7 linked regions of the Mus musculus genome follow. The protein of the gene in region 6 purifies or fractionates together with the protein of the main gene of each other region. This does not show direct contact. Links are inferred from orthologs where the notes say so. Each region holds a gene or a part of one and is shown on either strand. Other genes may lie near its edges. The genes, in order: Psma4, Cul1, Nfkb2, Arrb1, Rps3, Nfkbia and Rel.

Region 1 (4,569 bases), on a different chromosome or scaffold from region 6:
AGACTCACTGTTCTCGGCTATATGTACACACTGCTGAGCCCACCAGACTCCAGCAAGCAGCTCTCACACAGATGGCCCTGGTAATGCCAGTGAATCAAAACAGACAGACATAAATATTTGTGGGGAGAAGGGTGGGAGATGGGAAGGTAAGAATAGGTTGTGAGAGTGGTCAGTGTGCTTGGTAAACACATCCAAAGCTGTAATACATAAACAAATAATTAACTAGGCCCCAGTGCCAAGTCTTCAGCCGGCCTACCACTGATGGCAAAGTCTCTATATAGCACAGCCAGTCTTCCACCAACAACCAAATCCCACAGCCAGCTCCAAGTACTCAAACTGGACAGAATCAGACTGCACCCTGTGGCTGAACTGTGTCAGACCTCCACGAGCCTTGTTCTTTGGTAAAGAGTCAGGATAACTGTACAGAATTCCTGCGTGCCATTCTGAAGGGCATCCTGAGGCCCTGCTTTACACGGTGGCACTGTGTTAGTTTATTTCACTATTTTGTTTCATTTGATTCCCATAACCACTCTGATCCTCAAGAAGTTAGATAATAGGTGTAGCACCTTGTATCCATGGACTTTAGATTTTAAACCAAACCTGTGTGGCCAGAAAATACATACATACTTTTATCACTGCACAGTGCTATTTTGCACCAAGTGTTTATCTTTGCATTTCAAGTGAATTATACACATAATGAACTGAGATATAATGGGCTGCAAGGAGATGTCAAGCAAAATAAAGCAAATACACAGATTTTTACAAGAAAAATAATAAAACTGCTCATTTCAGTTCTATCACTTCACATAGAAGATCCCTCCTTAAATATGCAAATCCTGAGTACGCTGTCAAGTGCAATAGTTCAAGCTCTTCCCCATGATCGCACTTACTCATTAAGTTTATAAATTTTCTCAGAAAAGAAGACTTCATCAAGAAGCTTGTGGATGTTGCGCCTCTCCGCTGCAAGCAAAACTCCATCATTGGCTAAAATCCCCAAACAGGTGCCTGCATGTCCAATGGCTTCCATGGCATACTCCACTTGGTATAAGCGACCTACAAAACAGTGAGACACCACGGTTCCTCTCGCTCTTGCACCACTCATCTGAGAGAAATCAGCAATGACACAGGTAGGCTGGCATCAACAGCCCTGCATTTACTCGCCCACAATGCATGGCGTAATGAACCTGGTGACAAGTTATCTCCAAGAACCAAAGGAATGAAGTCAACTCCAAAATGTGTGTAGCTAAACGTCACACTAGACCCCAACACTAAAAATATACTACTTAAAGCAACAACCACAACAAAATGCCCCAACCTTCTTTGGAGCAGGTTAAATCTTCTAATTTACCTTCTGGAGAAAATATTGTGGTCCTGGAGTCATATCTTCGAGACTGCAAAGGAAAAACAGAGATGATGCCTGTTCACTGACATACGCCAACTTCCGGATGTCCATGCATTGGATACAATGACACCCTGGTGCTGAGTTCAGTGGAAAGAAGACGGAAGACCCCATTCAACTCCCTCTACCCCTTTGGTTTCATTTTCTTCCATGTCAGGCTGTGAGCTTCAAACAAGCCATAATGTTCCCAGGCAAAAGTTAAAGGAAACGTGTCATGAACTCACCATGGTTTCTGAACTTTATGTTGATTCCTGTGAAAAGAAAACAGGATCATTAATAACAAAACCCCCACAATTTTAAGAAGTGTCTTCCACTGTTAATACCACTTGATCCACACCATCACTCAGCTAACATGAACTGCACCACCACTGGGACCTATACAGATGCTGGGCCACCACAATAAAGGTAAACCATGGTGTCCTGAAAAGCTCAGAATCTAGCAGCCAGGTATGACAGACAAAGATTATAAAGCAACATGGAAGAGACATTCAGGGTGGGGAGGGAAAGCAGAATCGACAGCAAGTAAGATTTTAGGAAACCAATACAGATAATGAGAGTAAATTAGAGGTGGGAGAGGCAAAGGTAAGTTGAAAAGCCTCAAGTCAAAGAAAAAGAATTGTGAAGGGGTGAAGGAAGGGCATTCCAAGTAGAGCAGGCTGAGAAAGGTTAACAAAGTGGATAATTCACATGGTCCTAAATTTGGGGGTGTAGGGGTTAGGTGGTAAACCTGGTCCTTATTTCCGTTTCTTCGAAAGACAGCAATGGAAACTCTGCCTTAGTAGAAAAATGGCAGTTCAATTCCTATGTTGCCAAATGGGATATAAGGAAGGCATCGTGGCTGGAAAGCTAAGCAGACATTTGAAGGGTCTGCGCGCCCAGATGTTAGAAAACACCTTTATCTTACTTAAGACCGCTTCACCGACGGGCTGGATTCAAGGACCACGGGAAGTGACATTTTAGAAGAGTCGTCAGGCCTAAGGAGAGTTAACCTGCCAGGAGTCGGTTCCAACATGTAGGAGAAACAGAAAGGTGGCCCTGAGCACAGCAGCCAGGAGGCCACGGCGGGTTTCGGATTCGACTGTGAACACAGCTACCTCCACGCCTGGCGCCGGCGCTACAAGACTTGGACTTTCCCCCGCAGCGCCACTTTCCCGAATTGACTCTCTGGGCCGCAGCCGCCCCCACCCCTCGCACCGGCCCGGAGGGTCTCAGAGCCCAGGCGAGCCGTCAAGGCCCCGCGGGGATACCCGACGGCGGCCGGCGGGGACCAGTCCCTGGCAGGCCGGTCACCGAGGAGGCGGGTGCAAAGTCATCGTGCCCACGGCTCCTCGGTGGCGGCCGCGGGCCTGGGCCGTGGTCTCCACGCAGATGGCCCCCGCCCGGGAGACAGACACCTCGACTCCGCGGCCCCTAAAGGACTGAGCCTCACCAGAGGAAGACGGTGAGGGTGCAGATCAGCGCCTCTTTACTCAGCTGGAGAAGAACCAACCCGGATGGCCAAGCATCCGCGGCGAATATGGCTCCCGCGCGTGCGCAGGACTGCGAGGGGGCGGGGCGGGGCGGGAGGACGCGGAAGTTCTCCCAGTGCTGGGGCGGGCTCAGTCTGCCCACGTGGACTGTGCAGAAGCACAACCTCGGCTTTGGCTGCGGTCTGTATTAGAGGAGGACTGGAGGGAGGAGGGAAGCGTCTATACCGTGGAGAGTGGAACCAGATTCCTCCTACGCTTTGCACTCCACTTTCGTTTTCTCTTCTGTACCATTCTAATGGAGGCCAGAGTAGCAACTGTATAGACAAATCAAATCGTTTACTCTTCCAGTCTTGCCCCTTAACAGTTTTTCCTTTGTTCTTCCTCTTAGCCTCATTTTCTCCTTTCTCAGATCCAACTCTTTAATTGGGATAACTTTTGTTCTAAGTTTAAGACTTCTCTTCGCCGGGCAGTGGTGGTGCACGCCTTTAATCCCTGCACTTGGGAGGCTGAGGCAGGCGGATTTCTGAGTTCGAGGCCAGCATGGTCTACAGAGTGAGTTCCAGGACAGCCAGGGGTACACAGAGAAACCCTGTCTCGGACAAAAGAAAAAAAAAAAAAAAAAAAAAAAAAAAAAAAAAAAAACGAAAAAAAGACTTCTCTTCATCCATTTCTCCTTTCCAATCTTACCTAGTTTTTGTGCCTATGTTGGGGGTTGAAGAGCTAGTGGGTTGACTATGTACAGGGCCTTTGTCTTCTGTGTAGGCAAAACGGTTGGATCTGGGTTTCTTAAAGGGGGAAGCTTAGAAATTTAGTTGCATGTAGACGGGACCTGGCCTGTACTCAGGACCTGGTTTGCCCTGTAAATTCCAAGCCAGCCAGGGATATATAGTGAGACTGTTTTAAAAATGAGAGAGAGAGAGAAAAAAAGACCAAAAGGTAAAATATCCATACAATGCAGCATATATTTAATTTCAAACAGAAATTAGCAATATTTGCAATAGGAATTTAGTGGAGAATCTCTCTTAGCAAGAACAATCAAGAGAAACTTGCAGAGTTCCATTGTATAACAGGATAAACACTGATTTGGAATGAGACCCAAGTTCCAGCCCATTTTTCTGGTCCTGATTGGCCAAGTTAAATAAAAACCTCAAATATGAGTATCCTAAGTGTTTCACATGTGAATGATCTCATGTACTGCCCCCATGTGTGTGGGTGTGGGTGTGGGTGTGTAAAAACAAGGAAGGAAAGGCAGCAGGATGGGATTTTGTAGTGATTAGGAACAGGGGTAACAGCCCAAAGACCTAATTCAAGATCTAAGCCTGAGCTCCCTTCTAAAGCAATAAATCAGCTTTTCAAGGCTCTATTTCTTTATTTAAAAATGGAGATTAATCATCAGAATATCTTTGTGATTCTGTTCTGGATTAAATGAGGTAGTGCATGTAAAATAACATTCAATAATCATTGTAGTATAGTATATTCTACTGAAAAACTAATGAAGCAGGAAAGACAAAACCGCTCCAGATTTGTTAACCTAAAATCCTGATTTGTGAAAGCAGCAGGGCTCGATGGCTGACTGTGAGAAGGGCAAGCAGCGTGCCACACCAATATTTTGAGTGTGCGTAACCTGAAATATGATCCATTATTTAGTAACTATTTATTATGCCTCTACTATGTGCCAGAGTCTATGCTAAGAGGCTGCCA
Region 2 (3,489 bases), on a different chromosome or scaffold from region 6:
CTGAGAGCAAAGGTCGGTGCAGTGCCTTGTGGCAGAGTCCCTGGAGGTCTGAGGATGACCCTGGGCTGGACTGGATCTGAGGAAGATGAGAGCCTTCAATCCCTGGCCTGGGCCCTCCTTCCGGGGACATCCTGGGGTGAATATGGCAGCCTCCTTGGAAAAGCTTCACTAGGAGGGACCTGGAATGAGAGAGATTCTCAGTTCTCACACACAAGTGGAGAGGGCTGACCATCCTCCTTGGTGGCCAGGGAGTTTCCAATAATTTAGATGCAGTGATACAGACCAGCTTCTACACCTGTCTTAGTATTCATTTAGTCCCTGCAGAGTTGACAGCAGCAATCTGGAGTATGGTACCTCTCAAACGCCATACTCACGGTACTGAATAAGTCTCAGAAAACAAGGGTCAGTGCCCAAAAAGATTAAGGACTTTAAAAATTAAGATCTTAATTTCCAATCCAAAGAATGCAGCCCTTTTGGATTTCAGGAAGACAATGGGAATATACACTTGCACAATCATTAAATCTTTTATTTACATATAGAAATTAGAAAAACTTAAAACAAAACCAAATGCAACTTGTACAGAAATCCTTTAATTTTCTTTATTTTCACACATTAAAAAAATGAAACACACTATACAAATGGTTTTCATAGCAGATTACACGTGGGTCCATTCAGACTCGCTCTCGTGTGCTGCCTCAGACGACAGCTGTTAACCAGGGAGCCAATGTATTGATTTAAGTGCGGTAGCATGCAGCCTCAGCATGGAAGGTTCGGTTCCCCTCTGTCTGTGAGTTAGGGTAAATGGCATTGGCGTCTGTTTACAGACTGAAATGTGTCAGTCAGTCCTGAGCAGTCCTGCTGTAGCCTGAAACCAGCTGGTGGGAACTGTGGTCTCAGCTTTAAAAATGAAGGTCCAAATGGCGGCAGGCTGGCTGCTATGAACTTGAGTTGTTTCCATTTTATTCACTGGAACTATCTGCTTGTGGGTCATGCAGACCCTGCTAGATGGGTTAAGCCAAGTAACTGTAGGTGTCCTTCTCACCATCGACTCGCTCCAAATATTCTTTTTCGATGAGAATATCAATGCATTTCTGGGCATTGTTTTAGGAAGAAGAGGGAGTTAAAGGGGGAGAGAAATGAAAATAACCATCAGGAAAGAGGTCTGTCACCCTCACCACAGTTACCCTCCACTGAGCTCAGCAGGAAGCAAATTCAACCTGTCTATTGTCCTGAACCCACCTGAACCTTCAGCAACACCTGTGGGTGACTGCACCCCCACCCACTCCAAACTGCCCTGTGCATTAAGAAGGCAAGGGCTCTAGCACATCTAGGCCACAATCTCCCTTTTTAACAAAGCCTGGCTGCTTCTGGGCAGGACTCTGCTGTCACAGGTCAGGAGCACAGGATGGGTGAGTCAGAACTTGAAGAACATGCTAGCATGGTGCTAATAGCTCCTGACCACTGAGGACTCACCATGCATCGCCATCCCTGGGTTCTCCAATGGCTGTGGCTTACCCAAGTCGTTTCAGAAAAGGAAAGGTCTGCTGAGTTATTGCCATCAGAAAACTTGGCAAATGAGATCATTAGTCCCCTAGATACAGGGGAGTATGTTCCTGCTCGGAAGCAGAAATGGACAAGTATTTCCCAACAATGCAGCCCCAATGAGTCCCCTCATACTGCCAGGTGGGTTCTCAATAGAGAACACTGTACACCACTTCCCACCAGGCAAAATCAGCCAAGGCTGCAGGACAGCTAGCTCATTGCCAGAGAAACATAGGATAGGGGAGGAACATGTGACTTCTTGGATGCCTGTGACGTACTCCTCATCAGAATATCAATTATAAAAGTATATTTATGACACATATGCCTCTTATATTTACTTCAAGAATGAAGTTAGCTGACTTTCCTTTGTTGAAGTTTTTTGTATGAATGAGTAAGCCAGTTCCCATTTTCATGAAACAGCCATTAATCCTTCTGCTACAAGTTTCCTAACCATGCTCTGTAATTCCTGTACCTTGATCACCGGGACCCGAGGTTTGAACCTGGAGGAGAGCTGAGTGAGGACTTCACCAAGTAACTGCTGGTGTTTCAGGACCTTCCTCATTTTCATGATTCTCACGATGGCCGCCTATGCAATCAACAAGAAAAACACATGCTTAGAGGTTTAACAGCTGAGCATGAAAGTTCAAGGCAGCCTGTACCACCTCATACTCAACTTCCATGCTAGGGTAACAACTATCCTACAGGTCAGGGAGGGTACAAGCAATCAGCTCTATCCATCAGCTTTATCCATTAAAATGTTTTGTCTAAGGGGCTAGATTGATGGTGCAGTGGTTTAAGAGCACTGAGGTCTTCCAGAGGACCTGGTTTCAGTTCCCAGGACCTATGGAGTAGCTCACAACCAAAGAGATGCAGCATCCTTTCCTGGCCTCTGGGGACACCAGTAGCATACATGAACCCTATCTATATGTGACTACATATAGACAAAACATGCATATACACTAAATGTAAATCTTAAATATTTTGGAGGGGCTAATTTTGGCCAACTATAAAGCACTAAAGAATAAAGAAAAAATGGATCTCTAAAGGAATAGAAGGTCCCCTTCCCCCCAATCTCCTGTTTCTTTAATCTGCCACATATTACCTGCTTCCCAATACTTAGGCAAGAAGATTAGACTACTTTTGTTTGGAACATAAAATACTTCATCCCTCAGACACCAAGTGCTGGCTTCAGGCATTGTCATCTTTGGCCATCACCGAACTGTCATTCTGGCAGCGTTTGAGCACATACAAGGCCAGCACGTTTCCCTAAGTGTACAGTGCAGACATGGTTCAGTCACCTGAATCAGTAGTTTGCGGTCTTCCTCTATATTTTTGTGTGTAGTTTCTTGTTCCTGCTTCTGTTCAGTTTTCATTGGTACATTGATATTAACCCTCAATTTCTTACTGTCAAGATAACAGAGGAAACAGGTCATTGAAAAGTCTGCTTCCTGTCTTTCAACTACACGTTTTGCATCCCTGGACTGGGCAGGTGGTTCACACCCATCTCTTCTATATCATTTCTCATCATTTCTACTGCTACCTGCGAACTGCCCCTCCACCAATGCTATGTAATTTTACCACAGAGGGATGACTGAAGTGACACTTGACCCCTCAATTTAGTGAATTGTAATAACACCAAAATAACTTGATATAAAGGTCTAAACATGCCATATGAGCCACTCAAGACTTATTTTCAAGATAAAGAAAATCAAACTCAGCATTAAAAGCAGAGTCCAGTTCCCCTGGCTCGTGCCGATCCTGAAGTAGGCCAGTGCCAGGGGATAAGACCAGCAGCTACATGTTAGATTTTTCTTACTTTTTATAACCAAGATATAACTTTATTAAGGTGTCTGGCTTCAATTCCACCTCATCAACATTGGCATTTTCATCTTCTAAGACCTAGAAGAAAATAACTGTTACTAGGCACATCCTAGGGAAAGGGTGTCT
Region 3 (4,222 bases), on a different chromosome or scaffold from region 6:
AGGCTGGACGGAGCGAGGCGGGCCAGGAGGTGGCCTAGAGTTGACTCCCAGGAGCCAGCTTGAGGAATCTAGGGTCTGACCCATATTAGGTTTTAACACCCCGTTTCTCTTTCCTCCTAGACAAGGAGGAAGTGCAGAGGAAGCGGAGAAAGGCCTTGCCCACCTTCTCCCAGCCCTTCGGGGGCGGATCCCACATGGGTGGAGGTTCTGGGGGCTCCGCTGGGGGTTATGGAGGCGCTGGAGGAGGTGAGGAGGTGCAAGTGGCAGGGAGAAGGATGGAGGAGATAAGGGAAGTTAGGAGAGGAATCTGGGAGAGTCCTGGCTGGCACCTCACACTGCCTTCCCCATGCCCACAGGTGGCAGCCTCGGCTTTTTCTCCTCCTCCTTGGCCTACAACCCCTACCAATCCGGTGCAGCCCCAATGGGCTGCTATCCGGGTGGGGGAGGTGGAGCGCAGATGGCCGGTTCTAGACGGGACACCGATGCTGGCGAGGGGGCAGAGGAGCCCAGGACGCCCCCGGAGGCTCCCCAGGGCGAACCACAGGCCCTTGACACACTGCAGCGAGGTACATCTCAGGAACGCTGGGGGTGGGCGCGCGCCAAGCTGGGGATCTGGCCCGCACCCACGCCCCCTGTCGCCCCCTAGCTCGCGAGTACAACGCGCGCCTGTTCGGTCTGGCGCAGCGCAGCGCCCGAGCGTTGCTGGACTACGGCGTCACCGCAGACGCGCGTGCTCTGCTAGCGGGACAGCGCCACCTGCTGATGGCACAGGACGAGAACGGAGACACGTAAGCAACCAGAGGACGGGCTTCCGTGGGACCTCCAGTGGCTGGGGTCTTCTGCTACCAGGTCTAGATGTTCGGGTAGAGGAATCTACAAAGAGCTGAACCCTAGGCTTGGACAGATCTGGTCTCAGGTCCTCGCTGTTTTCTACTTCTGTTCAAGATATTTACTCTCCCCGACCTTCAATTTTATTAGCTGTGAAGGGGTACAAATAGCAAGGTGTGACAAAAGATTAAGATGATGACATTTAGGTTTCAAGGGGCCTCGGTAAAGGAGACCGCGGAAGTGTGGAGTTTTGAGGGCAGATGTGCTGCTCTGGGTGGCTGGGTTTCTGAAGACAAAGTCTCAATCTCCAACCCTCAGGCCACTGCACCTGGCCATCATCCATGGGCAGACTGGTGTCATTGAGCAGATAGCCCACGTCATTTATCACGCTCAGTACCTCGGCGTCATCAACCTCACCAACCACCTGCACCAGGTAAGGGGAAGCCTTTGGTAAGAGGTTGAAGGCAGGGAGTCCAAAGCTGGCCTAACGCTGCCTCTCTCCTCAGACGCCTCTGCACCTGGCGGTAATCACTGGGCAGACAAGGGTGGTGAGCTTCCTGCTGCAGGTGGGTGCAGACCCCACGCTGCTGGATCGGCACGGAGACTCCGCCCTCCACTTGGCTCTCCGGGCAGGTGCTGCAGCCCCAGAGCTGTTGCAGGCACTGTTGCGCAGCGGAGCCCATGCTGTGCCCCAAATATTGCACATGCCTGATTTTGAGGGTAAGTTTCCAACCTACTCCTGTCCTGGGAACAAGGGTGGGGACCGAGGAGTGTATATGATCAATAAACACGAGCGGAGGTTGCCTGGTCAGAGTGCATCCGGAGGCCATTTTGAGGGTCAAAGCTGCAGGCGCGTGTGCTATTTCTCTAGGACTATACCCTGTACACCTGGCAGTCCATGCCCGAAGCCCTGAGTGCCTGGATCTGTTAGTTGACTGTGGAGCTGAAGTGGAGGCCCCAGAGAGGCAAGGGGGCCGAACTGCCCTGCATCTAGCCACAGAGATGGAGGAGTTGGGGCTGGTCACCCATCTAGTCACCAAGGTAGGAATGAGGACTATGGAAGGGATGGGGCTGCGGACTGTGGGAGGACCCGGAATGATGATCTGCGTGGCAAGGGCTTGGCTGGCTGGACTATGCTGCTCTCTGCTTGCACCCTACAGCTCCATGCTAATGTGAATGCCCGGACCTTTGCTGGAAACACACCCCTCCACCTGGCAGCTGGACTCGGGTCCCCAACTCTTACTCGCCTCCTTCTAAAGGCTGGTCAGTTTCACCATTGGTGTATGAAGGGCAAGGGGGGGAAGGGGGAACCCCCAGCTCCCCATGGTTCAGTCCTCAATGTAGGAGCCTCCACTAGTCTCTCCTGAGGACTGCCTCCCTCCCCCAGGTGCTGACATCCATGCAGAGAATGAGGAGCCTCTGTGCCCGCTGCCCTCACCCTCGACCTCTGGGAGCGACTCCGACTCTGAAGGGCCTGAGAGGGATACCCAAAGAAACTTCCGAGGCCATACCCCTCTTGACCTCACTTGCAGTACCAAGGTGAGGCCACCCTTGCAATAGAAGTACTGAGGTGGGGACTGGGGACCTTCTGGACTTGGGGGTGTGTCCCAGATGATGGACCTAGGGAAAGCTGGGCTTAAGGTCCGGATGACAGTCAACACCATCTCCCCAGGTGAAGACTCTGCTGCTAAATGCTGCTCAGAACACCACGGAGCCACCCCTGGCCCCACCCAGCCCTGCAGGTGAGGTTGCAGTGGTCTCAGGCACCTCCTTCCAGAGGTGATATCCTTAGGGACTCTGGCGAGGGCTTCCTTTGTCTAGCTCCTCTTCCATGCCCCGTTGATCTGTCCACCATGTCTGTCAGGTTACAAGGGAGAGAAGCTGTCTGGGTACGTGTCCCTGCACACCTATTAGCTAACTCACAGGTCCGTATTTGTCCCCTAAGGGCCAGGGCTGTCCCTGGGGGATGCAGCCCTGCAGAACCTGGAGCAACTGCTGGATGGTCCCGAAGCCCAGGGCAGCTGGGCAGAGCTGGCAGAGCGACTGGGGTTGAGAAGCCTGGTGGACACATACAGGAAGACCCCGTCTCCCAGCGGCAGTCTCCTTCGTAGTTACAAGGTGAGGCAGCCTGTACCCTGCCCTGAAGCCTGAAACCTTGGCCTCTCAGAGTTCCCTCCCCCACCAAGACTCTCTAACCCCACACCCTAAGCATCACTCAGACCTCCTGTCGCCTTTTCTCGGCAGCTGGCTGGTGGGGACTTGGTGGGTCTATTGGAGGCCTTGTCTGACATGGGTCTCCATGAGGGAGTCAGGCTGCTGAAAGGTCCTGAGACCCGCGACAAGCTGCCCAGCACAGGTAAGGACAACCACCTTGGAAGGTGTGTCTGGGCTGAGGGGAGAAGGCATGAGGCTTGACTCTCCCCTGTTCCCTAGCAGAGGTGAAAGAAGACAGTGCCTATGGGAGCCAGTCAGTGGAGCAGGAGGCAGAGAAGCTGTGTCCACCCCCTGAGCCTCCAGGAGGGCTCTGCCACGGGCACCCCCAGCCTCAGGTGCACTGAATGGCCCCGGTCAACTTCCACCCAGATCCCTCTGTACAGCATCCCTGTCTAATCGAAATCTTATTTAAACCTCAAGCCCACATCTCGGTGGGTCAAATAAAGGGGAAGACCCCTCCCCAACTTACGGTACAGCAACCCCAATGTGCTGCCCATCCCAGTCCCTGAGCGAGAATAGAGGAGGAGGCCCAGCCAGCAATTCAGAGCAGTTTTAATGAGGGTGGAGGCTGTACAAAGGGTAGGGCCCACCAAAGAAGGGAAGCAGGCCGTGCCACCCCAGCCTGTGGATGGGGCCTCAAAGTGGATGCCCTTCCTCTGTCTCTGCAAAGAGAGAGGTGAGCCCTTGGGGAGGAATAGGGGGACCAGCTCAGCCCCAACTCCTGGCTTCTGTCTGAGCCAGGCCCCAGGATGGAGGGGTGTTGCTGGTGTAAGGGTGAGGTGGTCTCAGCAGAAAGCAGAAACTTGATCAGGCCTCCCCCACGAAAAAAAAAAGGAAGAAAAAAAAAAAAGAAAGAAGGAAAGGAAAGGAAACCCCCATCAAAAATTAGGGGCATGGGCCCCTCCCACCCTTCCTGTACGAAAAAGTGCAAAACATTATCACAAAAAGGGGGTCTCTGAGAGGCCCTCAGCCTAGGCTCTGAGGCCCGGCTCAGCCCTGCCCTGCCCCGGACACCGCGTCCGGCGCGGTCGGGCCCTGGACCAGGAGGCCCTCGTGGCTGGCCCGAGGCTAGCTGAGCTCAGGCAGGACCGTGTATGTCATCATGCAGGTGCCCAGCGGGCACTGCCCCCATCGCTCCTATGCCCTGCTCAGGGCTTTGGCCTTGTACTGCCTGCTCCAG
Region 4 (3,826 bases), on a different chromosome or scaffold from region 6:
GCCAATAGCTGTGCAGCCTGAGGCAAGAGGCTAATCTCTGAGTGCCTAAACCTAGGGCATCTTAATAATAGGGCTGTAGTGAAGAGGATCGCAGGAGTTGTTCTAAGGAGGGGCTTGGTACACTCTGTATCATGCAAATGCCCGTTCTTGTCCTCAACCTGTGTACCAGGGACAGTGTCAGGGAAGGCCTGGTCACCAACAATGACTGGTGACCAGCTCTTTCACAGGCACACACAGGAGGTGTCAGCGTCTGCCTATGGTGTGGACAGCTCCTGAAACCTGTGGGTGGCAGAGAGGCGGGTGGGCAGGACTGGGAGAAAATTGGAAAGGGTGGTGTCAAGAGGCCATGATGATTTGAGATGGGCAGAGCCCCAGGCCACTTTGGTTACCCACTGACCATGGTGTGAGTCCCCAGCGGGCATGGTGCCCAGCCCATGGTCTCCCCAGGCCTCAGACGGACAGGGCAGCAGGTCTTTCTCTCTGAGGCACTCACCGAGCTCGCTGGACGGGGTGTGTGTTTCAGTGATGTGGCCGTGGAGCTGCCTTTTACCCTAATGCACCCCAAGCCTAAGGAGGAGCCCCCACATCGGGAAGGTGAGTAGGACCTGTGGGCCACTGGGGTGGGGTTTACCAGCCTCCCTGTTACCCCACTGCTCTGCTTCTTTCTGGGTTAACCTCCAGCCCAGAGTCATCCTTTCCCCAGCTCCCAGTCTTCTGCAGGGCCTACAACACAACTATTATTTGCTTTTGACCCAACTAGGGGGGCAGAGAGCCCTGACTGCTATTCTCCATGGGACAGGGAGGTTCGGAGTGGAGGACAAGCCACACTGGTGGATTTTAATTTTAAAAATTATTATGATTTAAAAATATTTATTTTTATTTTATGTGTATGGGTATTTTGCCTGCATGTATGCCTGTGTACTATATACATGCAGTACCTTCAGAGGCCAGAAGAGGGCGTCAGATCCACTGCGACTGGAGTTACAGATGGTTGTTAGACATCCTGTGGGTACTGGGAACTGAACCCACAACCAGAAGACCCAGTACTCTTAACTGCGGAACCATGCTCAGTCCCCATATTAGTTGAGGGTTTTTTTTGGTTTGGTTTTTGTTGTTGTTGTTGTTGAGACAGGGTTTCTCTGTATAGCCCTGACTGTCCTGGAACTCACTTTGTAGACCAGGCTGGCCTTGAACTCAGAAATCCGCCTGCCTCTGCCTCCCAAGTGCTGGGATTAAAGGTGTGCACCACCACACCCGGCATTAGTTGAGTTTTTAAGGAGGTAACAGATTGACTACATTCCATTGCAAGGGATGTTACAGTCCCTCTCACAAATGGAGTCTGCCTATGAGTAGTCGGTGAGATGCCGCAGATGGCACTCTGAATTCAGAGAGGTTACAGTGTGAAAAAAAAAACAAAAACAAAAACAGGGCAGTGTGATAACACATGCCCATAATCTCAGCAGAGGGAAGTGTGTGAGGTAGGAGGATCACGTTTGAGGCCAGCCAGGGCTGCAAAATGATCTTAGGGTAAATGGAACTCAGGGAAGCAAAAAGTGAATGTGTCTCACGTTGGAGACCTGCTTCCTGCAGGGTGTTCATTGGGCATGGATGCCTCCCTCCCACATCTGCTGGTTTTTGACCTGGGAGGCTTCTCACTCACCTTCCTTCCTTGCCCTCCCCATCTTATCTAGAGAGTCTGAGGAGTGTGTGTGTGTGTGTGTGTGTGTGTGTGTGTGTGTGTGTGTATGTGCGTGTGGTCCCTGTCCCATCCCTCACCTCTCATCCCACACCCCACTTACCCCTGGGTACCTCACAAGCCTTGTATATTTTCAGTTCCAGAGAGCGAGACTCCAGTAGACACCAATCTCATAGAGCTTGACACCAAGTAAGCTGAACCTTCCTGCCTGTGCTGTCTGGGGAGGGGCTGGAGGTGGGACGGGAGAGGTGGAGGGGTCATTTGCATAAATGTTAATCAACCTCTGAGGAGCAGCTGGTCTAACCTGTCTGCTGAGAGCCACCTCTGCTCACCTCTTCAGCAACCTGCTTGCCTGCATGTGACTTGAAGGACCCTCCATGCCTGTTCCTCTTCCTCCTGCATTGGTGGGGTCTGTCTTCCTTGTACGTCCGTCAGTCAGTCAGTCCGTCCGTCTGCAGCACCCACCCAGCTGGCTGACACGGGGCTGGTTCAGACTCTGGGGCTCCCCTCTCTTACCCGACCAAGCCAGTTGGAGGCTGCCTGTGGGGTGGAGAAGGTGTCTGGGTGCTGTCACTCTTGCGGCCTGAGGACCAACCGATTCGGACTCCCCTGCGGTGGAAGGCCATGGGGCACCAAACAATGGCCAGAGGAAGAGGACCTGGTTCAATGGCTTGAATCGCCTCTGGGGCCAGGTGGCTTTCTCCTTCCAGCTTCCCAAACCTCCTTTCCTTGATTCTTTGGTGAGATCTGAGAAACAGAGGTTTGATGTTGCCCTGAGGAAACCCATTCAGCTGACTGAATTCAATGGGGGCCAGGGACTTCTGCCTCTGCCTGGGCCAAAGGGTCATGGTGGAAAGAAAGAAACAGTCCTTAGTCCTGCAACCTTAAACCAGGCACCTTTCCCCATCACTCTGTCCTCATATCCTCACCATCTTCCAAGCCCCGTTCCAAAGTCCCTCTCCAACCTAGGACTCCGGGGATGTGGGTTAGATCTTCTAGGAGAAAGACCTGTTCTCCTTCCTTAGAACCCAACACCAACTTCCTGGTTGAAACAGTTACCCTCCCTAAAGCAGTCTTGGTAGTTTGATTTGGAGGGGTGAAATAGGGTTTCTTGGGCTTGTTCTTTGGGGATTCCGACGCAGAGCCACATTGCTCCCCCTACTTACCTTCTCCATCTCCCCAGGAACAGGGTTGCTTTTCTAGCCCTTATGCACTGAGAGGCAAGCTTTTTGCAGTTTATTTGTGAGAACCCCCACAGCCATCAGTGGGCTTGTAAATGGGCCAGCCAGGCACGCCTTTCTGCCTGAGGTCATCCCAGAGACCCTGGAGATCAGGGGTTCTCTCTTGAGTCCTCCCATCGTTTGGCCAGGCCTCTGGATCTGCCTGTCGTCTACCTCTGCAAACACACGGCATTTTCCTTGTCTCTCCCACTAGTGATGACGACATTGTATTTGAGGACTTTGCTCGCCAGCGGCTGAAAGGCATGAAGGATGACAAGGACGAAGAGGATGACGGCACCGGCTCTCCGCACCTCAACAACAGATAGACTAGGGCCGGCCTCAGCCCGGCAGCTCCAGGTTCACTCTCGCACTCGGATGCTTTCTCGTCTCCTTCCCATTCTGGTTCTTCCTTTTGTTCTTCCAGTTTCTACCAAGGGGCCCCAGTGGTCTTCCAAGTCTCGGTGATGGGCCTCTCGCATCACCACGCCAGCAGGACCACGTCCTCAGCCATCTCTCTGCAATCACCTGCCCACCTCCTTCTCATGCTCATTCCCAGGAAGGCCACACTGCCTGGCCTTGGGATTTGGCTTGAGATGGGGAGCAGAAAGGGGAGGGTGGGGCCTGAAGGCACAATGATGATGGGTGTGAAGATGTGGAGGGGGTGGGCAAGATGGCTCAAGACACACAAGAAGATGTCTGTAGTCCCAGTAGGTGACAGTTTTGGCAGCTAAATGATGACCAGATTGAAGGTGGGAGAGGGCAGGACTGTGAATAGATTCTCAATGCTTTTTTGTGTGTGTGTGTGGTCCAGGGCCACTAGAGACTCCTCCCCCTCCATCCTCATCCTTGGTCCATGCCCCTATGTCTCATGGGGGAGGCACATAGACCCCAGGAATGAAGAGCAGTGGAC
Region 5 (4,392 bases), on a different chromosome or scaffold from region 6:
AAACAGCTTCATCAGGTGACAGACCAGTCTGACTCTGTCCCATGATTAGAAGCCATCTTGTTACAAGGTCAAAATAAGTTCATTCCTGTTTTCTGTAACACTTGGGTTTGATCCTGTCGTCAACCCATTTTCTGGAATTTGACATGTTCCATACTCCATTATACCCTGACTTCCACCCTGATAAGATGTTCTGCCAAGTTCCTGTGTAGCCAACATTCCCCTGGAAATCTCTCTTCCCTTGGAAACCACCTAGTCTTAGAAATTTTGAGTTATATAAATTCCACTTCTATGTTTGATGCTATTCTTTAAAACTCCACTTTAGGGAGATAGCCCTGTCTGATAGAAAATAAAACTTGCTTAATTTGTCTAAAAGAGTTTAAGTAATAGTTTTTACTTTTGTTCCGTGGGATTAATACAGGGTGAAACAGACTCCCGTGTTTCCAGTGTGAAGTGAGCCACACACTGCAGTACAAGTTATATCAGCAGGTTCTGCCTCTGGGCAATGAACTTTTGCTTGTGTGGACATCAGGGTCTGTGTGAAGGGAAGGTCCTATGGCCTAGATTTATACTATTCAACAGTCTGTCCCCGAAGCCCTGGTGCTTTATTATTTTGACAAGCCCCTGCTGCTGGTATTCCACCCTGCTGCGAGTCAAAAAAGTTCCTGTCTCGGAAAAACAAAACAAAACAAAACAACCAAAAAATAAAATTTTTTTTTCCCACAGGTTCTAGTGGAGGTGCTCACTACCAGAAATCCTACAAATAAGCCCATCTCATGGATCAGGGTTTACCTTTGTAATAATATTAAATCTGTGTGCATGTGCGCACGCATGTGTTTTATGCTTGCATATATGTATACGCAGCCATGGTTTTCTACTGTCCCACTCACTCTGTAACTTACTGAGCCATCCAGCTGGTCCTCTAAATACATTTCAATGAAAGTTTTCATTAGCGTGAACGTGAAGGTGGTAAAATCTGTTAGTGTGTGCTTATGCCTGTGGTTTGCACCTCTAGTCTGAAGGTTGCTCTTTTCAAATTTTTTATTTATTTACGTTTTTACTTTTGAGTCAGAAACTCATAAAGGCCAAGCTGGCCTCGAATTCGCTATGTAGTCAATGATGACCTTAAACTTGTGACCCTCTACTTCGTTAGTGCTGGAACCCCAAGCTTGCTGAGTACAGAGCACTTTCAGACCGGAACTAGATGTCTACTTCCTGTTCCGCCTACATTACAGGTTGCTAGGTTACACCCCCCCTACGCCGTTTTAGACGCAAAACTTCATTTCCCATGCAAAACTTCATTTCCCATGAACACTTGCAAGGGTCGCCGCGCTGCGCGGCGTCATTGCTCCCGCCCTATATACCTACTTCCGCCCGCGAGCCACTTCCTTTCCTTTCAGCGGCGCGCGGCTGCAAGATGGCGGTGCAGATTTCCAAGAAGAGGAAGGTAAGCGTCTGGGCCCGGTTCGGGAGTCCGCCGCGGGTTCTACAAGTGCCAGGGAGGCCTGTGGCTCCGTGATCAGTCCTGTGGAGCGTCTGGGGCCGCCTGCCGTCTCTTCGAGCCTCGGATGGCCGTAGATTGTGTATTGGGCCGGAGCCGGGCGAGTGCTGTGTGCCTGGGCAAGGGAGGGACAAACTCCTCGAGTTCTGGACCGACTCGAACACCGGGCGCCTCCAGTTCCGGACTAGACACCTTTGAGCGTTTCTTGGTCTCCATAATAGTAATCCTGTGGCACAGTTAGAGGGCGTGTGCCATCAGATCTAGTCCAGTTTCTTTAGTAAGTGAAGTTTAGCAGTCCCTTCTCTTAGTCGCGTGATCCTGCAAGTGGCCATAGTTGAAAGCCTACTTACTGACTGCTGCCGTGTTCACTCGGGACCCGGAGCTGCAGCGTCCCTGTGGTTATCATTTCATGGGGGAAAAGTGTGCAGGTTGCCAGGTTTAGAAATAGATGGTCTGTCGTTTGTGCTTATGCACACAGATGATAAACCTGTTTTGAGTCAGGATTCCTCTCCTATCCGAGGTACAACTTACAGTCCCAGCTGTACATGTGCTACTTGGAGACAGATTTTTCTTTGTCTCTTGGGTGTAGATTATGCCGTAGAGCCCTTCGATGAAGAGGTGATGACGAGTCTGAGTAGGAAGTGTTGTCTTTGTCCAAGATGCCTCACTATGCTGCGTTCTGTGGCACAGCTGAAAGCACTGTGGTCAAAAGAAACTTCCTAAAGATGACCAAGAGGCATTTGTCTGAGAAGGGTTGCTGCTTTTCTGTAGGGCCATTGGGCTTGCTCTGACTAACCCTGTCTTCACCTCAGAGGTAACTTGTTTCCTTTGGTTCAGTTTGTAGCTGATGGCATCTTCAAAGCTGAGCTGAATGAATTTCTCACTCGGGAGCTGGCTGAAGATGGCTACTCTGGAGTTGAAGTCCGAGTTACACCAACCAGGACAGAAATCATTATTTTAGCCACCAGGTAGAAATACCATTGATTGTCACCTGTAAATACTGTGTGTACTGAGATGCTGTGTAAACTTGGGCCAACCAAGCAGTAAATCTGGCCTCAGTGGGTGTAACTGCTTTGTTAGAACTGCATTTGGGAAGAACTTACCTTCCATTTAACGTGTGTGCTGGCGTTGTGGTGGGCGGCAGGTGGGATCTTGAGTAAATGGTTGCGCTTCCCCTCTACAGGACACAGAATGTTCTTGGGGAGAAGGGTCGTCGGATCAGAGAGTTGACCGCAGTTGTCCAGAAGCGCTTTGGCTTCCCTGAAGGCAGCGTAGAGGTGAGTTCCTCTGCTTTATCTCCCGGGGGTTTTAGACTGAGTTGGGATGTGGCTTCTGCTATAGAATTGTACTTCTGAAAACCTGACATGGCCAGTGACAGTCACAGGTACTTGATGCTCTGCCAAAATTTCCTTAAAAGCAGAGCGATTGCCATGCATGGCGGGGGCCCATATTCTTGTCCTGGCACGCAGAAGGCAGGATGACGGCGGGGCAGAGCTAGTCAGGGCTGCTGTAGTGAGACCCTGTCTTAAACCACAAACAGTATGATATTCTGGTGGTCGAATGTAGAAATAATGCATGGGTGACTGGCTATCCTTAGTGTGGTTGTGAGGAACCAGAGTAGAAGGGCGATTCAGCCTTCATCGCTGCCTTGTGTGGGTAGTCGTGGTACTTGAGTATCTAAGGGATATTACAATGGCTTAATTGAAGATGGGTGAGTGACAGGAATGTACTTTGCTTTCTTTAAAGCTTTATGCAGAGAAAGTGGCCACAAGAGGTCTGTGTGCCATTGCCCAGGCAGAGTCTCTACGCTACAAACTCCTTGGAGGGCTTGCGGTTCGAAGGTGAGTGTCCTGAGACTTGATGGTCATGCCCTCCTGTGGATTAGTGTGTGCTAGCATTTTTGTTAGCAAATAACTTGATTGACAGAATCATCTAGTCTCTGGTGGTGTAGCCCATCCCCCCACTGAACCTAGTTAGGCTAACTAGGCTAGTAGTAGGCTGGTGGATGAAGGACCTATTGTTGGTGACACATGCCTGTATGCCAGCACTGGGAGGACCAGCCTGGGCTGTGGGATGAGCCCCGAAAAAATGGTCAGTGCTCTGACGAGGGAATGCTGTGGGTATGTTGAGAATGAAACGAGTAGATAGAATCATAACAGGGAGGGGCATCCGCTTTGTGAGGTTTAGCAAGGACCCTTGATAGGTGAGCAGGAAAGCATCCTGCCTGTTACTGTACCTGGGAGGAGTATCTGGTTGGGAGTTGTAGCTTTGGCAGTGCAGGTTTCAAAACAAGCTAGAAGTCATGCAGCTCTACTAACTAATGCATTCACTGTGTGGATATAGAGATAGCAGTTCTAAAGGGAAAGACATTTACACTAGCAATTGGCCAGGGTTCATAATGCCTACCCCCCAATCTTCGCACTGGAGGTAGAAAATCAGCAATGCAAAGCTCCAAAGCCAGCCTTAGCCTCAAAACAGAGGCTAGTCTCAGGGGAGGCCCTCTCAAAAACCCAACGTTTCCTGTAAATTTTATGGCACTGAGAAGTGATGTAACGATCAGGTAAGGGGCCTGACATTGTTTCAGGAGTTGTACAACCTTGCCTTTGTTATAAGGATTAGATGTTGAGAAGGCCAATTTGGTTCTTTGTTGAGAGTCAGGGTCTCACTGTATAGCCTAGCTGACCTCCAAGTCAGGTTGCTTGCTGAAATTAAGGTGTGTGCCACTACACCTGGCTTTAACCGGATTTTGTTTCTCTGTGACCTTAGGCCAGGCTGGCCTCGAACTCAGATCCTCCTTCCTCTGCCTCCCTAGTGCTGGGATTAAAGGTGTGGGCCACCACTCCTAGCTTTCTAGTGTTGTATAGGCAAAAGGGTTTTTTGGTGCTATTAATGCT
Region 6 (4,282 bases):
AAAGAGAGGAAAGCTGACATAAGGCTCATTAAGAAAAAGATCATTCACATCTCACCAGAAATCTATGCAGAACTAGAGAGGCCTCCTGGATCTGGTCTGACAAACTCTGATCCACGTTGCTTTAATTTTCCCTAAGTAGGGGTGGGGTGGAAGTAACATTTGTACTTTTGCCGGTTAAACTAGAGGCTCACAGGCCCAAATCCCTTTCTTGGGGGAGCAGCTACCCATAATGCCGCGGTCCCTTGGGAGCAAGGAAGCTGATAGAAGCAGCAGGTTTCAGATGGGGTCTGTGTTAGGACTATCTTGAGCCTCCTGCAGGATACCTCACAGTTACTTTTTTAGCTATGTTTGAGAGGCCAGCCTTGGCTAGGGCACTAAGTCAATTGCTCTGCTAGGCATTCACAATAAGCTCCGGCTTCATTCTCTGCAACAAGTTAACTCCGACAGCAAGAACGCAACAGTTGCGGTTGCAAGGAAACTACAACTTCTACTAAGATTAACAGCTTGCATTACTTGGGGAAAAATGTGGTTCCCATACGGAGCTAGGATTTGCCCCTCCCCCGGGGGGGGGGGCAAGATTATTGACCCCTAGGAAATAATCTAGGGGTTCTCCAAGCTCTTGGTTTTTGTTGGTGGTGGTGGTGGTTTTGTTTGTTTTAATGCCAAAGTTTTTACAGCTTCATGGAGTAGGAGTGAAGGACAGCCAAATGTCCCTGCATTGCAAAGGGCCTGGAACAGACAAAACACAGCCGGCCCCGGAACCACTCATATGTCCGTCGTCGCAGAAATTTAGGAGAAGCGAATCCCTGCACCTAGCCAGCGTTTCCACTCTTGGGTTTTCAAAAAGATCAAAAACCGGAAAAGACCTGCAAACTGGCAAATCGCTAAGAGGAACAGCCTAGCAGGTCTGCGTCCTTGGAAGCTGCGCAGCTTGGGACCCCAAACCAAAATCGCCCGGTGGGAAACCCCAGGGAAAGAAGGGTTCTTGCAGAGGGCTGGGGTTACTGAGTGCAGGCTGCAGGGAAGTACCTAGAGGGAGGGGGCCTGGTCGGGAGGACTTTCCAGCCACTCAGGGCTCATCAAAAAGTTCCCTGTGCATGACCCCAGTGGCTCATCGCAGGGAGTTTCTCCGATGAACCCCGGCCCTGGGTTTAGGCTTCTCAGTGGAGGACGAGCCAGTTCTTTTTCTAGTCTGACTGGCTTGGAAATTCCCCGCGCCTGACCCCGCCCCTGAGAAATCCCCTGCCAGCGTTTATAGGGCGCCGCGGCGGCGCTGCCGAGCCCACAACAGTCAGACCTCGCCAGCCAGCCGCCAGCAGCCTGCAGCCTGCACCCGCTCAGCCCCGCACAGCCATGTTTCAGCCAGCTGGGCACGGCCAGGACTGGGCCATGGAGGGCCCGCGGGATGGCCTCAAGAAGGAGCGCTTGGTGGACGATCGCCACGACAGCGGCCTGGACTCCATGAAGGACGAGGAGTACGAGCAAATGGTGAAGGAGCTGCGGGAGATCCGCCTGCAGCCGCAGGAGGCGCCGCTGGCCGCCGAGCCCTGGAAGCAGCAGCTCACGGAGGACGGAGACTCGTAAGTGGCGCCGGGCACCGGTGGGGGTCGCGCGGGGCCTGCAGCGCGCTCGGGGTTCTGCACGGCGAGGGCGCCGGGGTTGCGGGGCGCCGGGGCTGCGGCGGGCCGCCTGTCTTCCCCCCTCCCCCTCCTCCCCTGTCCCCGGACCCGGAGTCGCCGAGCGCAGGCCGGGGGGGGCGGGGCGGCAGCGGCGGCGAGGACGCAAAGTCCCGGCCTGGCAGCGGTGGCGCGCAGCCGCCGGGCGCCGCGCGGCCGCGAGGGGAAGTACAGGGCGTTCCGGGCGGCGGAGGGCGGGCCGGTCTGGCCGGCGCCCGCCCGGAGGGGGTGGGGCACGGAAAGTCCCTGGGCGGCTGCCAGGAACACTCAGCTCATAATAACCTCGCGGAAAACACCGCGGCCGCGGCCTCCAGAAACCCCGGCCTTGCGCAATCCCCCCTCCAACCCCACCTCCAGCCCGCGCCTCCCCCCCCCCCACGCAGTGTGCTCACCACCCCTCGGGGGGTTTCCCTGTCATCCCTCAGGTTCCTGCACTTGGCAATCATCCACGAAGAGAAGCCGCTGACCATGGAAGTCATTGGTCAGGTGAAGGGAGACCTGGCCTTCCTCAACTTCCAGAACAACCTGCAGCAGGTGCGCTGCTTGCTTGCCCCGCGGGTGCCCTCTTTGACCCCTTGGTGGAGTCAGATGTAGCACGGTCGCCCCCAAAGCGTTTCTAAATTAATAGTCACTTAGTTCTTATCTGCCTTGGCCTTTTGCATTCAAATCAGCCAACGTCTTAGAACCAGAAGAAAAATCCCTTGGGTTTAGTGAGGTCTTTATGACCCACCTAGGGCCTCCTGTTTGCCTGATCTCCTAAGAGACAAATGGGAGGATCAGATTCCATAGCGGGAGGTGTCTGGGGTTCAGGAAACTCAAGACTATGGGTTTGCTCCATGGCTTATCCCTTTCTGTTTCCTCTTCCATTTGTAGACTCCACTCCACTTGGCTGTGATCACCAACCAGCCAGGAATTGCTGAGGCACTTCTGAAAGCTGGCTGTGATCCTGAGCTCCGAGACTTTCGAGGAAATACCCCTCTACATCTTGCCTGTGAGCAGGGCTGCCTGGCCAGTGTAGCAGTCTTGACGCAGACCTGCACACCCCAGCATCTCCACTCCGTCCTGCAGGCCACCAACTACAATGGTAGGTCTGCCAGTCCATCCAAGGATGCAGAGGAGGGAGAGAGATGGGGCCACTTGAGTCTTAAACTCCGAACGTATACAAAGTTCAGACACTGTGATCTTTTTAAAAAGTTTTCTCCTCGATGCCTATATGATATTCACTCAGAACCCAGATTCTGAGTTCTTCAAAACTGATGATGTTTGTGGTTGTCCTCAAGACAATAGACATGAGTTGTGTGAGGATTGAAACACGTAGTTACAGTTTTTGTCTTCCTCCTCCAGGCCACACGTGTCTGCACCTAGCCTCTATCCACGGCTACCTGGCCATCGTGGAGCACTTGGTGACTTTGGGTGCTGATGTCAACGCTCAGGTGAGTACATCTCCCTTCCACCTAATCTCTGTTGGGCTGGCTCTGATGGTGAGCAGGTTTCCAGATGCAGCCGTAAACTAACGCCTGATTGCTTTTGGTTTCAGGAGCCCTGCAATGGCCGGACAGCCCTCCACCTTGCGGTGGACCTGCAGAATCCTGACCTGGTTTCGCTCTTGTTGAAATGTGGGGCTGATGTCAACAGGGTAACCTACCAAGGCTACTCCCCCTACCAGCTTACCTGGGGCCGCCCAAGTACCCGGATACAGCAGCAGCTGGGCCAGCTGACCCTGGAAAATCTCCAGATGCTACCCGAGAGCGAGGATGAGGAGAGCTATGACACGGAGTCAGAATTCACAGAGGATGAGGTGAGTGTTCCTCCCCTCAGCACGCTGACGGCTGTTCTAGGGCTGCTTTGGATCAGAGGGATTTCAGTTGTTTAACTTCTCAGACTCGGCTTGCAAAGCCAGGATCCCAAGAATTTGTCTCTGGTTTGTTTTAAGAGCTTACCCTTTTGGGTTGAGGAATGAGGGAATTCTAGAAATTGAACCCAGGCCTTAGCACATGGTGATAAGCACACGTTCAACCATTAAGCTCCACCCCCTCAATAGCTTAGACTTTTTTTTTTTTTAAGGAAAGAATAGGTAAGGGAAACTCCTACAGCCTGGTGCCCTTGTTCTATTTGGGTTAAGGAGAAAAAGAGCCCAAGAATAGGAGTTATTTCAGCAGCAGCTCTCCCCTTATCCCAATGTCTTGGTGAAGTTCTAGGAATTTAATATGTCTTTTTCCCCTCTCTTGTTTTAGCTGCCCTATGATGACTGTGTGTTTGGAGGCCAGCGTCTGACATTATAAGTGGAAAGTGGCAAAAAGAATGTGGACTTGTATATTTGTACAAATAGAGTTTTATTTTTCTAAAAAAAAAAAAAAAAAGAAAAAGAAAAAAAATGAGAAAGGGTATACTTAGCACCACACCACACAGCGCCTAGACCCAGGCATTTTACTGGGGTGATTCGGCTGTTGTCTTTGTGAAATCCGGGGAAACAGATCACTGAAATTCAAAGAAAATGTCTCTTAAGGTTCATGTTTGTGGGATTTTTTTTGGGGGGGGGGGAGGTGATTTTCCAGAACCTAATGAAAGGACCACGTTTTATTTATTGTGCTTTTGATTGAACCACC
Region 7 (3,826 bases), on a different chromosome or scaffold from region 6:
TATATCCCTAGGGCAATGCAGTTCTCATTTATCTTCCGAATATTATTATGATAGTTCTTAAAGGTACCCAAGGCTCTCTGTTAAGAATAATCTACCTCTATACTCCTATGGTCCAGTATTCTACATGCAAATCAGGTGTGGCATATACTACTGGTGAATGTGTGTGTATATACACAAAATATTTTGGAGGAAAGTTTTAAAATCTTTTCAAATAAACTTCTATATCCTTTGATGTAGGTATCTGTCAAAAGTTATTCTTTTAAAAATAAATGTCAGAAATATTTGCATAAGAGATAAACATTCAGGAGCCAGTGACATAGTTAAGGCAGCAAAGCCTGACAACTTGAGTTTGATCTCAGGGAAACACATGATGAAAGAGCACAGCCAAGTCCTGTAAGTTGTCTTCTGACCACACACATATAAACAGGCAGATACATGATCCATAGAGAGTTGTCTTTAAATGCACACATAAATATATCTACTTTGGTATAATTTGCTTACAAAAGGAAACAAACCAAATATATTCTTAAATATGATTCTTAAAAGTCATCTTTTTTATTTTTTATACTCCATATTAATGATTTCTTAAAATTAATATATAGACATATAAAAAAATATGCTTCTGAACAAGGTGACACTGGCCTTTAATACCAGCACTTGGGAGGCAGAGGCAAAAGTAGAGGCAGGTGGATCTCTGTGGTTCAAGGCCAGCCTGATCTACAGTGAGTTTAGGACAACCAGGACTGATACACAGAGAAACCCTTTCTTGAGAAAAAAGAAAAAGAAAAAAGTATAAAGCAACACAAAGAAAGGAAGAAGAAGGAAGGAAGAAGGAAGGAAGGAAGGAAGGAAGGAAGGAAGGAAGGAAGGAAGGAAGGAAGGAGATAAATATTCAGCTACTGGAAACCTAAGTGGGGTTTGGGGTATAGCTCTGTACAATGTCCTGGTTAAATGCCAGCAGTGTTTAAAAAGAAAAAAGAAAAGAAAAAGTGATTGAAAAAGGTTCAAGATACATTGCAAAGAGAAAAGTTCTGGGATTTTCTGTCTCTATCTATTGAGGAAGGATCCCATGTGACACAGTAGGGTCTTGAATTCCCATTTTTAAACATGGTAAAGGAAAACTTAACTCCTGATCTGCCTGCTTGGACTTCCCAAGTGCTATTATTATAGGCATGCACTACCACTACTGGCTTGAAAAAAAGTTGTTTTTTTTTAAAATATCATTGATCTTTTTTTTTAAGTTGCCAAACTTAGTGGGTGAATGGGGTTGATGAGGAAGATGGTGGTGTCTGTGCTTATTCAAAGGGACTACAGTGTATGCTTGAGGACAGTGGCCATTTAGGAGGAGACTAATGGTGATTTGCTCTTCTTTCTTATATATGTATATATGCTTGAGGGTTTTTTTTTCTATAATGAACAGTGCTTTGTTTATTTGTTTGTTTTTTGTCTGAGACAGGATCTTTTTATGTAATCCTGGAAATCACAGGGTAGACAAGGATGGCCTTGAACCCACAGGGATCTGCCTATCTCTATCTCTGAGTACTGGGATTAAAGACATGCACCGCCACCCCTGGCTTCTTCTTGTTTCTTGAGACAAGGTCTCAATGTGTAGTCCATTATGCCTTCAAACTTTATCCTCCTGCCTCAGCCTTCTGGTTGCTAGAATTATATGCACAAACCACCAATCCCACCTAACATACTCCTTTTCAAATTGCAAAAATCCTTTAAACTTTTCAGCAGTTAAGGAAATGAAACAAGCTAAAAGTACAGACATAAGAAAATTAAAGCACTTACGGTTGTCATAAATTGGGTTAGAAACAATGGGAGGCAGAGCAGTTGTGAAGTTACCATGTTCATCAGGAAGGAAAACTTGAAAACACAGCCTCACCACATTGAGGTCGCAGTCTTCAATGTCCAGCAGCTGCTGTTCAGGGACTGAACAGTACAATCTCAGATTTAGAATGTAGAACACATAATACTAATACTTTATTATTACCAAAATCCTGCTGTCTTTCTCTCTGCCCACAACATCCAATAACCTTAACCCGCACCTACGTCTGCAGAAAACTAAGATGGGGTTCAATCTCAAGAACAGTTTTCATTATTGTACAGTTACTATTTAACAGTATATAACAGACTGTAGCCATGCTCAGAGAGAGACTATACCAGGGACTAGGAACTTAAGGGCAGAATCATAAACTGACCACCAAAATCAAAAATCTTAAATATGGATACAAGTTATAGACAATGGGAAACATGCATACTTCATTTAACATAACACTTGGCCCAGTCTGTAATTACGTTCTAAATCTAGCAAAAATCACCATCATCCCTGTTCTTATAGGTAAGACATTGATTTTAAGGAGATGACATTATTTGTCTAAATAATAAATTTTACAGCTAAATAATAGCATGGAAATTTGAAGCAGAGGGTCATATTAACTTATTAACATATTGCACCAGCATTTTAGAGATGCAATGTGAAAAAGATATCAGATGATATAACTTTATGTGTAAGTCAAGTCAGCTTAAAAACAAACTGCACACCAGGGCATTTTTACAGTTCTGAAAAAAAAATACAAAAACTTGCCACAGAATATAGTACAATAGTCTCTTTGCATTGATATTTGAAAAGAAGCCCATTTCTAAAACAAAATATTGCTGCGTTTTGAAATATTTTAAGCCTATAGCAATAAATTGTTACTAATATATGCCATATTTTAAAAACATAAAATTCATTAAATTACATGAAAAATTTACTTGGAAAGGACACTAGTATTAAAATTAAAAGATTAAATATGAAAAATAATTAGCTAAATTCCCCAGTCTTACAGGTGATAACTTATTTAAAAAAACATATCTCACACAAAGCCAGTCAAATAGTCTCAGGAGTTATGCTAACACTGAAATTTATTCCAGTATCAGCATTCTTAAGCCTAACATTTGAGTCTATGAAAACATACTTGTACAACTAGAAAGGTCAAAATGGGGCTGAGAGAGATGATTCAGTCGGTAAAGTACTTTCCTTGCAAGTATGAGCTCAACCCTCCAACCCATGCAATGAAGCCAGGTGCAGTAGTAGTCAGGCTCCTGATAATATTCTCAGTGCCAGGAAGGCAGAAGCAGGGTACTGGTCGCCATCTAAGCCCGCAGATGAGAACCCCAGTTCAAAAAAGGGAGGCAGAAAATGTTGGAGGCAAACATCTGAGGCAGTCCTTTTGCCTCCATACCTAGGTACGCACCCTCATACCATGTTCAAGGGGAAAATATGAGGTTCAAAATGCTAAGAGGGCAGCACCTGTATCACAGTAGCACAGTTGCTGGGACCAGGACAGGCAGTAAGAGTGCAGGACTACTGAAAGTCTCATTTAATAGCAATATAAATTTAAGAGCTCAAGGTTTCAGTGTCTTCATTTCAAAGTGAGTAATCAATATTAAAACAAAACAGACAGACAGAAAGACAGACAGACAAAAACAATGAATGGCTAGGTGCTCCTGACAGTTTACAAATAAATTTCTGTTAATAGAAACAAGTTGTAGTATAGTCATACAATGAACAAATACTCAGCAATAAAGAACAAACTATGGTTATATTTTCCAACAATATACACTGCAAAACCAGTAAGACCAAGTGGAGCCAGGCAGGAAAGAATATAGAATATAAAAGAATACTTCCATTTCTATAAAACCCTAGAAAAATTAGGTGTGCTGACAAAAAGGAGATGAGCTGTTGACTGGGGCAAGAGCTGGAAGGAAAGAAATGATTGAGAAAGATCAAAGACAATTTGGGAGTGGGGGAAATGTTTCTTTGCCTTGAGGTTACATG

The links.
Region 1: the proteins of Nfkbia (region 6) and Psma4 purify together in Homo sapiens (affinity purification with western blotting; 3 studies listed by BioGRID and IntAct, with this or other methods). This does not show direct contact. The link is inferred for Mus musculus from reciprocal best matches to the Homo sapiens genes NFKBIA and PSMA4.
Region 2: the proteins of Nfkbia (region 6) and Cul1 purify together in Homo sapiens (affinity purification with western blotting; 8 studies listed by BioGRID and IntAct, with this or other methods). This does not show direct contact. The link is inferred for Mus musculus from reciprocal best matches to the Homo sapiens genes NFKBIA and CUL1.
Region 3: the proteins of Nfkbia (region 6) and Nfkb2 purify together in Homo sapiens (affinity purification with mass spectrometry; 6 studies listed by BioGRID and IntAct, counting the BioPlex papers as one, with this or other methods). This does not show direct contact. The link is inferred for Mus musculus from reciprocal best matches to the Homo sapiens genes NFKBIA and NFKB2.
Region 4: the proteins of Nfkbia (region 6) and Arrb1 purify together in Homo sapiens (affinity purification with western blotting; 3 studies listed by BioGRID and IntAct, with this or other methods). This does not show direct contact. The link is inferred for Mus musculus from reciprocal best matches to the Homo sapiens genes NFKBIA and ARRB1.
Region 5: the proteins of Nfkbia (region 6) and Rps3 purify together in Homo sapiens (affinity purification with western blotting; 4 studies listed by BioGRID and IntAct, with this or other methods). This does not show direct contact. The link is inferred for Mus musculus from reciprocal best matches to the Homo sapiens genes NFKBIA and RPS3.
Region 7: the proteins of Nfkbia (region 6) and Rel purify together in Homo sapiens (affinity purification with mass spectrometry; 6 studies listed by BioGRID and IntAct, counting the BioPlex papers as one, with this or other methods). This does not show direct contact. The link is inferred for Mus musculus from reciprocal best matches to the Homo sapiens genes NFKBIA and REL.

The regions. Positions count from the first base shown.
Region 1 is NC_000075.6:54,949,163-54,953,731, reverse strand, and holds the start of Psma4 (proteasome subunit alpha type-4), read right to left. Parts: upstream 2,874-4,569; 5' UTR 2,829-2,873; exon of another isoform or gene 2,778-2,828; intron 2,389-2,777; exon of another isoform or gene 2,304-2,388; intron 1,651-2,303; 5' UTR 1,627-1,650; coding exon 1,624-1,626; intron 1,392-1,623; coding exon 1,349-1,391; intron 1,054-1,348; coding exon 891-1,053; intron 1-890. Other genes in the region: AY074887 (cleft palate-related protein 1), read left to right, coding at 2,893-3,291. UniProt on the Homo sapiens protein: Component of the 20S core proteasome complex involved in the proteolytic degradation of most intracellular proteins. This complex plays numerous essential roles within the cell by associating with different regulatory particles.
Region 2 is NC_000072.6:47,523,156-47,526,644, reverse strand, and holds the end of Cul1 (cullin-1), read right to left. Parts: intron 3,442-3,489; coding exon 3,359-3,441; intron 2,947-3,358; coding exon 2,841-2,946; intron 2,129-2,840; coding exon 2,015-2,128; intron 1,092-2,014; coding exon 1,011-1,091; 3' UTR 501-1,010; downstream 1-500. UniProt on the Homo sapiens protein: Core component of multiple cullin-RING-based SCF (SKP1-CUL1-F-box protein) E3 ubiquitin-protein ligase complexes, which mediate the ubiquitination of proteins involved in cell cycle progression, signal transduction and transcription.
Region 3 is NC_000085.6:46,308,509-46,312,730, forward strand, and holds the end of Nfkb2 (nuclear factor NF-kappa-B p100 subunit), read left to right. Parts: intron 1-120; coding exon 121-246; intron 247-356; coding exon 357-566; intron 567-646; coding exon 647-788; intron 789-1,146; coding exon 1,147-1,261; intron 1,262-1,334; coding exon 1,335-1,548; intron 1,549-1,699; coding exon 1,700-1,869; intron 1,870-1,988; coding exon 1,989-2,091; intron 2,092-2,215; coding exon 2,216-2,367; intron 2,368-2,500; coding exon 2,501-2,570; intron 2,571-2,773; coding exon 2,774-2,946; intron 2,947-3,072; coding exon 3,073-3,184; intron 3,185-3,261; coding exon of another isoform or gene 3,262-3,264; coding exon 3,265-3,386; 3' UTR 3,387-3,582; downstream 3,583-4,222. Other genes in the region: Psd (PH and SEC7 domain-containing protein 1), read right to left, coding at 4,191-4,222. UniProt on the Homo sapiens protein: NF-kappa-B is a pleiotropic transcription factor present in almost all cell types and is the endpoint of a series of signal transduction events that are initiated by a vast array of stimuli related to many biological processes such as inflammation, immunity, differentiation, cell growth, tumorigenesis and apoptosis.
Region 4 is NC_000073.6:99,597,968-99,601,793, forward strand, and holds part of Arrb1 (beta-arrestin-1), read left to right. Parts: intron 1-523; coding exon 524-594; intron 595-1,833; coding exon 1,834-1,885; intron 1,886-2,036; exon of another isoform or gene 2,037-2,388; intron 2,389-3,130; coding exon 3,131-3,242; 3' UTR 3,243-3,826. UniProt on the Homo sapiens protein: Functions in regulating agonist-mediated G-protein coupled receptor (GPCR) signaling by mediating both receptor desensitization and resensitization processes.
Region 5 is NC_000073.6:99,480,644-99,485,035, reverse strand, and holds the start of Rps3 (40S ribosomal protein S3), read left to right. Parts: upstream 1-1,326; 5' UTR 1,327-1,414; coding exon 1,415-1,444; intron 1,445-2,103; exon of another isoform or gene 2,104-2,251; intron 2,252-2,335; coding exon 2,336-2,466; intron 2,467-2,681; coding exon 2,682-2,775; intron 2,776-3,244; coding exon 3,245-3,339; intron 3,340-4,392. UniProt on the Homo sapiens protein: Component of the small ribosomal subunit. The ribosome is a large ribonucleoprotein complex responsible for the synthesis of proteins in the cell. Has endonuclease activity and plays a role in repair of damaged DNA.
Region 6 is NC_000078.6:55,489,598-55,493,879, reverse strand, and holds the start of Nfkbia (NF-kappa-B inhibitor alpha), read left to right. Parts: upstream 1-1,232; 5' UTR 1,233-1,353; coding exon 1,354-1,580; intron 1,581-2,101; coding exon 2,102-2,210; intron 2,211-2,549; coding exon 2,550-2,760; intron 2,761-3,020; coding exon 3,021-3,109; intron 3,110-3,213; coding exon 3,214-3,474; intron 3,475-3,910; coding exon 3,911-3,958; 3' UTR 3,959-4,282. UniProt on the Homo sapiens protein: Inhibits the activity of dimeric NF-kappa-B/REL complexes by trapping REL (RELA/p65 and NFKB1/p50) dimers in the cytoplasm by masking their nuclear localization signals.
Region 7 is NC_000077.6:23,746,957-23,750,782, forward strand, and holds part of Rel (proto-oncogene c-Rel), read right to left. Parts: intron 1,936-3,826; coding exon 1,795-1,935; intron 1-1,794. UniProt on the Homo sapiens protein: Proto-oncogene that may play a role in differentiation and lymphopoiesis.